Linked DNA regions of Callithrix jacchus. The protein of the gene in region 1 purifies or fractionates together with the protein of each later gene. This does not show direct contact. Links are inferred from orthologs where the notes say so. Each region holds a gene or a part of one and is shown in the gene's direction. Other genes may lie near its edges.

What was found. The genes of interacting proteins can lie anywhere in the genome.
Region 2: the proteins of ECPAS (region 1) and PSMD1 purify together in Homo sapiens (affinity purification with western blotting; 3 studies listed by BioGRID, with this or other methods). This does not show direct contact. The link is inferred for Callithrix jacchus from reciprocal best matches to the Homo sapiens genes ECPAS and PSMD1.

Annotation. Positions count from the first base shown.
Region 1 is NC_133502.1:159,722,665-159,726,175, reverse strand, and holds part of ECPAS (proteasome adapter and scaffold protein ECM29), read left to right. Parts: intron 1-453; coding exon 454-645; intron 646-1,235; coding exon 1,236-1,444; intron 1,445-2,258; coding exon 2,259-2,302; intron 2,303-2,394; coding exon 2,395-2,587; exon of another isoform or gene 2,588-2,976; intron 2,977-3,511. UniProt on the Homo sapiens protein: Adapter/scaffolding protein that binds to the 26S proteasome, motor proteins and other compartment specific proteins. May couple the proteasome to different compartments including endosome, endoplasmic reticulum and centrosome.
Region 2 is NC_133507.1:152,511,321-152,515,272, forward strand, and holds the start of PSMD1 (26S proteasome non-ATPase regulatory subunit 1), read left to right. Parts: upstream 1-1,146; 5' UTR 1,147-1,297; coding exon 1,298-1,313; intron 1,314-1,363; exon of another isoform or gene 1,364-2,230; intron 2,231-3,952.

The DNA of each region.
Region 1 (3,511 bases):
CTTTGCTAAAAACATTTGTTTCTTTTCTTTTTTTTTGAGACAGTGTCTGGCTCTGTCGCCAAGGCTGGAGTGCAACAGTGCTATTTTGGCTCACTGCATCCTCAGCCTCCTGGGCTCAAGTGATTCTTGTGCCTCAGCCTCCTGAGTAGCTGAGACTACAGGCACATGCCACCATGCCCGGCTAATTTTTGTATTTTTTGTAGAGTTGGGGTTTCGCCATGTTGCCCAGGTTGGTCTCAAACTCCTGAGCTCAAGCTATCTGCCCACCTTGGCCTCTCAAAGTGCTGGGATTACAGCCTTGAGCCACCCACACCCAGCCTTCTGGAAACATTTCTAATGATTTTACCTGTTTTCTTTTTGTTTTGCTATTATATGAGTTGAACAATAGCCTGTTTATGTCAGTTACCCTTAAAAACAAAAAATATCATAAAGATTTTGGTTTCTCCTTTTCAGAACCTATCTACAAGACCTCTTGTGCTTTGACTATTCATGCTATTGGACGATACAGCCCTGATGTATTAAAGAATCATGCAAAAGAAGTCCTGCCTCTGGCATTTTTAGGCATGCATGAAATTGCTGATGAGGAGAAATCTGAAAAAGAAGAATGTAACTTATGGACTGAAGTATGGCAGGAAAATGTACCTGGTTAGTAGTGGTGCCTGAGTTAAACCTGCTTCTTAGGATTCACAGCTATATCACAATAAATGTCAATGTATTTACTTGCATTCCTTATTCAAAAATTCCTCTAAAGTTACTTTCCCAGGACCTTAACAACATGCATTCCATTTAGTTTTAAATTCATCCAAATTGCTGAGTTCTAAAGGTTGGCACTCAGGATTTTTGTCTTTACTCATTCATCACTGCCCATATGAGAGAATATATAACTCTGTGAGCAAGGAGAGCTTTACATTTTTAATTTAGAGTGAATTTATGTGGCCTTAGAGTATTATTTTTCAGTCATTTTCTAAATGTGTATTTCACCTTGTCACATATTAATGGATGATGCCCATTTGTGTGATAACCTCTTGTGGGCACTGAATTTCAAAGTTCTACCATTGTGAGAATAAGTCATACCACCAACATACTTTTTCTTCCTTTGAGAGAGTGGTGTGTTTTAACAGTTGAGAATCATTGCTTTTAGACTACTAGTCACTGACATTTTTTCAGACTTAGAAAAATCAGTTAATTTTTCTTGTCACTTAAAAGTTGTTTTAATTTTCCTTTTTATAACCCAGGTTCTTTTGGTGGCATTCGATTATACCTGCAGGAGTTGATTACTATTACCCAGAAGGCTTTACAGTCTCAATCCTGGAAAATGAAAGCCCAGGGTGCAGTTGCCATGGCATCAATTGCAAAACAAACTAGCTCTCTAGTACCTCCATATCTGGGAATGATACTTACGGCATTGCTGCAAGGCCTGGCTGGAAGAACATGGGCAGGAAAGGTAAAGGAAACATTCATGCCCAGTTAAAGGAATTCTGACTTCATCTTTCATTTTCCATAATAAGAATCTGATTATGTATAACTTCTGATGGATTATTTTTGTGAACCAGATTTCCTAGGCAGTGGGAAGCTTTGGATGAACCTTGCCTTATTTACTGTGGTATTTCCTCTCAAACTGTAACCTAAGTGGCCTTGCATAATGGACAGTAATGCTGGAGATAGAGACATTTTTCATATTCAGCCTTCCAAGTTATATCTTAAACCAACTTGTCCTCATTTTGTGCCTGTTGACCTCATGAACAGATCAGGATTGGGCATATGTGAAATAGAGTAGCACGGTGGGCTGCTTCTAAACCTGGGGCTGAAGATGCCCATCTCTGGGACCTATGAATTAGTAACAGTTATTTTTTTACACAAGGGCTATATTAGGATTCTTACAGTGAACACTCAGTGGGGAACATGAGATTGTGGCAGCATAATGATCTTTATGTTGCAAAGGTCAATAGTGGCTCATGCAGCACTGAAGTAGTACTGGATGGGGAGTTAGACATCATTCTCATTCTCTGGTTGACACTGTTGTCTGTGAGATCTTGGTCAAATCAGCTCTTTAGGCTTCTATGAAATGGAGATGAAGATAATTATCCTGAGTCCATGGTTTGGAGTAAAACTTGGTGAATGTGCTTAAAATTATGCATTAAAGATATGGTGACTTGTTAATTTTTGTTGTCATAAGAATTCCTAAGGTAACTGTAATCATAGCGTAGAGAGTATAAATGACATTTGGGCTTAATCATATTCATCTTTCCACCCCATAGGAAGAGCTATTGAAAGCCATTGCCTGTGTGGTGACAGCTTGCAGGTAAATGTCCTTTCAATGAAGATGCCATTTCTTAAACTGAACCTGAAAGCTGCAGCCTTTATTAACTTCTGATGCTTTTGTGGATCCTGTAGTGCAGAGCTGGAAAAGTCTGTGCCCAGTCAACCTAGCACAAATGAAATTCTTCAAGCTGTTCTGAAGGAATGTAGCAAAGAGAATCTCAAATACAAGATTGTAGCAATCAGCTGTGCAGCTGATGTCTTGAAGGCCACCAAAGAAGACAGATTCCAGGAGTTTTCTGACATTGTCATACCTCTCATCAAGAAGGTAATACTGCCTGTATCCTTAGTGCTGGTTTATACTTTAAAAAGAAAAACTTAAAAGATTGTTTTCCCCTATGATCTAATTATTAGGATTAGTTTAGCTGCAAGTAACAGAGAAATCCCAAAATATGGCCTTCAACAAGACTGATGTTTGTTTCTCACATAGCATTGGGAGCGTCACAAAGCATTCAGGTATACTGACTCTTTACAGCTCCCAGCTCTGCCATTTCTAGGGTGTGGTCATCAGCCTCATGGTCCACAGTCTGTTTGTGTTCCAGGCAGGAATGCAGAGGAGGTGAAGCAAGGATGAAGGATCACAGTGAACATGCCAGTTCTCTCTTGAGAGTTCCTGGGCACTGCTAGACAGCACTTTCACTTATATCCATCCCGTTGGTCAGTACTTAGCCACACCTGGCAGCAGACTGAGTCTTCATTCTGGGTGTCCATTTGCCTTCCATGGGAGAAGGGGAGGGTGGATTTGGTAGTGAATGAACAGTTTCTGTCATAATCAACTTTTCCTTGCAAGCATGTACAGAAGCCACTCCAGCCATCCTAAAGACAAGTGTGCCATGTGAATTGCCTCTGCCACATAGTGGAGGATTTGGGTCAAAAAAAGACTCAGGTTTCTTGTGGAAAATGGAATACTCATTTTTTAAATTTGGGCACTGGTCTGCATGAAAAAGGAGTGTAGTTTACCTTTTTCACATTTATTTGTGAAACATGAAATATTTTAAGTAACATTCTTATCTCTTATCTCTTATTACTGAAAGAAAACAGCTGCTGATTTGCAGTTGTTTTCTTTCAGTAATAAGGCTATTTAAATAATTTCCATTACAAACATAGTAATAGGATATGGTTTTGGGAGACTTGTGTTTTAAGTTGATTACATCACCAGCGAGCTGGATAAGTTGTTTCTCTTAGCCTCTGT
Region 2 (3,952 bases), on another chromosome or scaffold:
CTGAGAGGCTGGGATTACAGGCGCACACCACCACACCTGGCTAATTTTTTGTATTTTTAGTAGAGATGGGGTTTCACTATGCTGGCTAGACTAGTCTCGAACTCCTGACCTTCTGATCCACCTGCCTCGGCCTCCCCACACCCGGCCAAGAATTCTAATTTTTAAAAAAATCCACACATACAACAAAATGTGTTGTCAAGCACATTTAATTCACCGGCAACCACAAGACATTAATTGTGCCCCTAGGTTAGGTAGAAGGCCATAGAAATGAACTTGCCATCGCTGTCCAGTTTGGCTTGATAGTGCAAGGCCAGTGGCTTTAACAGATGCTACCGTTTGCCACTATTCTTTGTCAAGACTTTGTCAGTACTGACTCTTGAAATAAATTGGCCACTGAAGCTGTTATAAGACTGCAAATGGCCGTTGCAACTACCGTTTCAAATTTCTAAAGATGTAATAGAAACGAGAACCCACTGCCATCAGGGGAAAGAGGACCTGGGCAGATGGAAGGAAAAAATGAGAATGGAAGACATTTTTTCTCCCTTGGAAAGGCTTTCACCATGTAACTACCGCACATTTTAGTACATGGGTAACACTGGACAGTATTCCAAAAGTAAGTAAAAACTTTCATTGTTCAGCTTTATAATAAACCATGATTACTTGTGAATTTATTATGATAATAAAGCACTTCTGTGAGGTTTTTAAAAATTTTTTGAAGTTAGGCATTGCTTTAGAAAACAATTAAAAACCACTTTTCTAAGAAAACGCAGTTTGTGGCAGCCCCAATTCCGCAGGTATTGGCTGGTGAGAGATGTGCTGCAGCGAGACCTCCCAGCAGCAGGTGGCACTGCGCGCCCTGCTCGCACCTCCCCTCAACACCCTTTCTCTCAGCAATGGCGGGTGATGGTGGGGCCCTCTCTTTGCATGGGTGGCCATTCTAATGCCTAACCTCAGGTGCAGACCAGTGTTGCCACCGTGCGAGAGTCCTGACCTCTAGGAGGGTTAAAGAAAACAATGATGTTCTCCGTGTACCCTTCCGCGAGGACTCAGGAGGAGACCGCGGTGCAGAAGACGCAAGCCAGGAGAGAATTCGCGCCGGGCGGCAGGCGGGGCGGCGGGCAGCCCCGGGGCGAGCGGGGTCCTGGCGAGAAGCGAGCCGGCGGCCTGAGGAGGCGACTGACTGAGCAGCGCACCCGGGGAGCGAGGAGGCGCGGCGGAGTGAGTGGGCCCTGAGCTGACAGATACAAGGCGCGGCTGGAACTGCAAGCGAGCCGACCGGCGAGTGAGGGGCACAGCCATGATCACCTCGGCCGGTGAGTGCGGCCCCGAGCAAGCGCCGGGAGGGAGGAGCCGCCGCTGCGCCGGCTTTTAGCTGAGTCAGGGCCGGTGACTGGGCGCCTCCCGGCGAGGCGCCGGCCTGTGCAGCTCCTCACTGGCCGAGGCCCGTCCTCGGGCCAGGGGCTGGGAGTCTGGTCAGGCCACTGCGTGCTCCTGTGGCTTGAGGGAATGAGCCGAGTCGACCGCCTCGGCATCCCTCCCCAACCACACCCCCGTGCCAGGACCCGAGGGGTTCCTGGGCCTTCCCCTGACCCCAAAAGGGTTTCCGTTTTTTCTCTGCCTCCCATTCCTGGCCATGTGAGGTTGTCCAACCCCAGCCCTTCCCCGGAGGGGGTCGGAGTGGGATGGTCCCCTGTGCCACTGAACAGCAAGACAACCCCCGGGCCAGGCAGCCTAACTGCTGCATAGGTGCTTCTGGACGTGGCCGAGCTCCCTTCTCCGTAGAATGAAACCTGAAGTTAGGTTTGAGGTGGGTCGTTTCTGGGTCTGATCCAAGGATATTCATTCAAAGCACCCGGAGAACTCTTGTTTTCGATGAAGACCCTGAAGACGCCTTGGAGATACCTTTATACCGCGAGCCTCCTTACCCTTTCGAGGTTCTGTGCTCGGTTATGGATTTTCCATTCAAGGAAGAACGGATGGGTCTGCGGAGCAGATTGCAGACACGCAAACCATTGCATAGGTGGATTCTCGCAGTGACATTTGCAGTGGAGGAGGTCACAGAGATCGAGTTTCGGTTGGAGAAGCAAGCTCTCTCCTACATGTAGCTGTCAGAGCTCTTTTCCTTTGCCTGTTTACCTGCCTTTTCTTATTTTCTTACTCTGCTTAACCCGCAAAAAAGCTTTTTGTTGTAAACAAACTGGTGAGCAGAAGACAGTGTCTGTGTGTTAAGGTGATCAAAACTTTGTTTTTCTGGGGATGGGTTAAGGCAATTAGTGGTGATACTGGGAGACAGAGTAGTTATTTTCAGGCATTTGAATGGGTGTCGTTTGTACCTGGAATAAGACTTTTTGTCCCCAAGGGATACAGGTGATCCCGAGATGAATATTAGTTCAGTATTGGGAAGTTTTTCCAGTCAGAGCTTTGTAAAGATCAAATAAACTCTCAGTTTCTTGCCACCTCTAGGCCTCATTCTATTTCACATCCATCCGTTACCACTGTTTCTTCTAACGTGGCCCAAACCTTCATTCATCTCTTGTTTGGGTTACTGTATCCGCCGTAAGGCTTTGTTTTTCGACAACTACCTCCATACAGTCCGTTTCTCTTGTGGAATGTGCTTTTAAAAACTTTAGTCATATAATACTTTGCTTAAAATCCACCAGTGCTTCCATGGCCTTTAGAGCAGCGTGTCCAACCCTTTGAGTTCGAGGACTTCTTATCTGTGGTGGCGTATATGAAAATTATACACAAATCTTTTTCTTTTTTCTTAGCTCATTAGCTATCATTAGTGTTAGTGTGTTTTATGTGTGGCCCAAGACAATTCTTCCATTGTGGCCCAGGGAAGCCAAAAGGTTGGACACCCCTGGCATAGAGTAAAATCCAGACTCTTAAACAAGGACCCCCATGATCTGATTCCTGCCTTGTCTTGTAGTACTGTCTTCTTCCCTCAATACGGCCTAATCACACTGGCCTTTTTGCTCCTTCATTATGTCAGTTTCTGTCCTATCTCGGGGCCCTGGCACATTCTGTTCTTTTCTAGTCTTTTCTTCCTCAGGTTTTCCCTTAGCTTCTCAATCTTTAGTCTCAACTCAAATGTTATTCTTCCCTGATCACTCTATTAAAATGCGCTGACTCTCTCTCCATCACAGCTCTGTAATTGCCTTGTTTGTTTACTTGCCTGATTACTCTCTTTCTCTCCCTGGTAGAATATTGAACAGCAAGTTTGTTTTCACAATTCTTAGAACACTGCTGAGAACATGGCAGAAATTCAAAAGTATGTCTTGACAGAAGAGCTCAGCCAGCCAGTCATGGCAGTTAATCAGTCCTTTGAGTTTTTAATGTAGAAATTGAAAAAGCATTTGGTGACAATACAATAGACTAAGCCTCTTTAGGACGGCAAAACTAGTAATTTTTGAGGTTGTATCCTGAGATTCTGTGATGATCGTATAGTGTATATTTATGACTGTGATTCACGTTTATTGGATTACTTGTCAACTTCTGCTCCAAGTCTTTTGTCACCTTGTTTTCTGTTCTATGGCTCATGTTTATTTAGAATTTGTCCCAGGTGCTAAACAGGCCAGTGTCTTGGTTCTGGTGTGGATTAGGCAGTTTGTTCATTCATTTATTGACCAGGCAATTGCTAGGCACTAGCATACAGTGGTGAATAAGTGGTCAACATGTTCTATTCAAGAGGTTTGACTATGCAAGGGAGTAGAGAGATAGAGGTCGGTGCCTACTGTAGGGAGACGTGAAACTGAGTGAGGGTTTTGTTTTGTTTTGTTTTAAACAAAATACAGACACATAAAGGAAAGTTGTGCTAAGAAACTTTAAAACAATAGCCCCCCCACCTCATGTTCCCTATCCTGATCCCCAGGGGCAACTGTTCCCAACTTTTAAGCTATGTCTTCTGGAACATACCTCCATGTTTATAAATAACATCCAAATATTTCTGTCA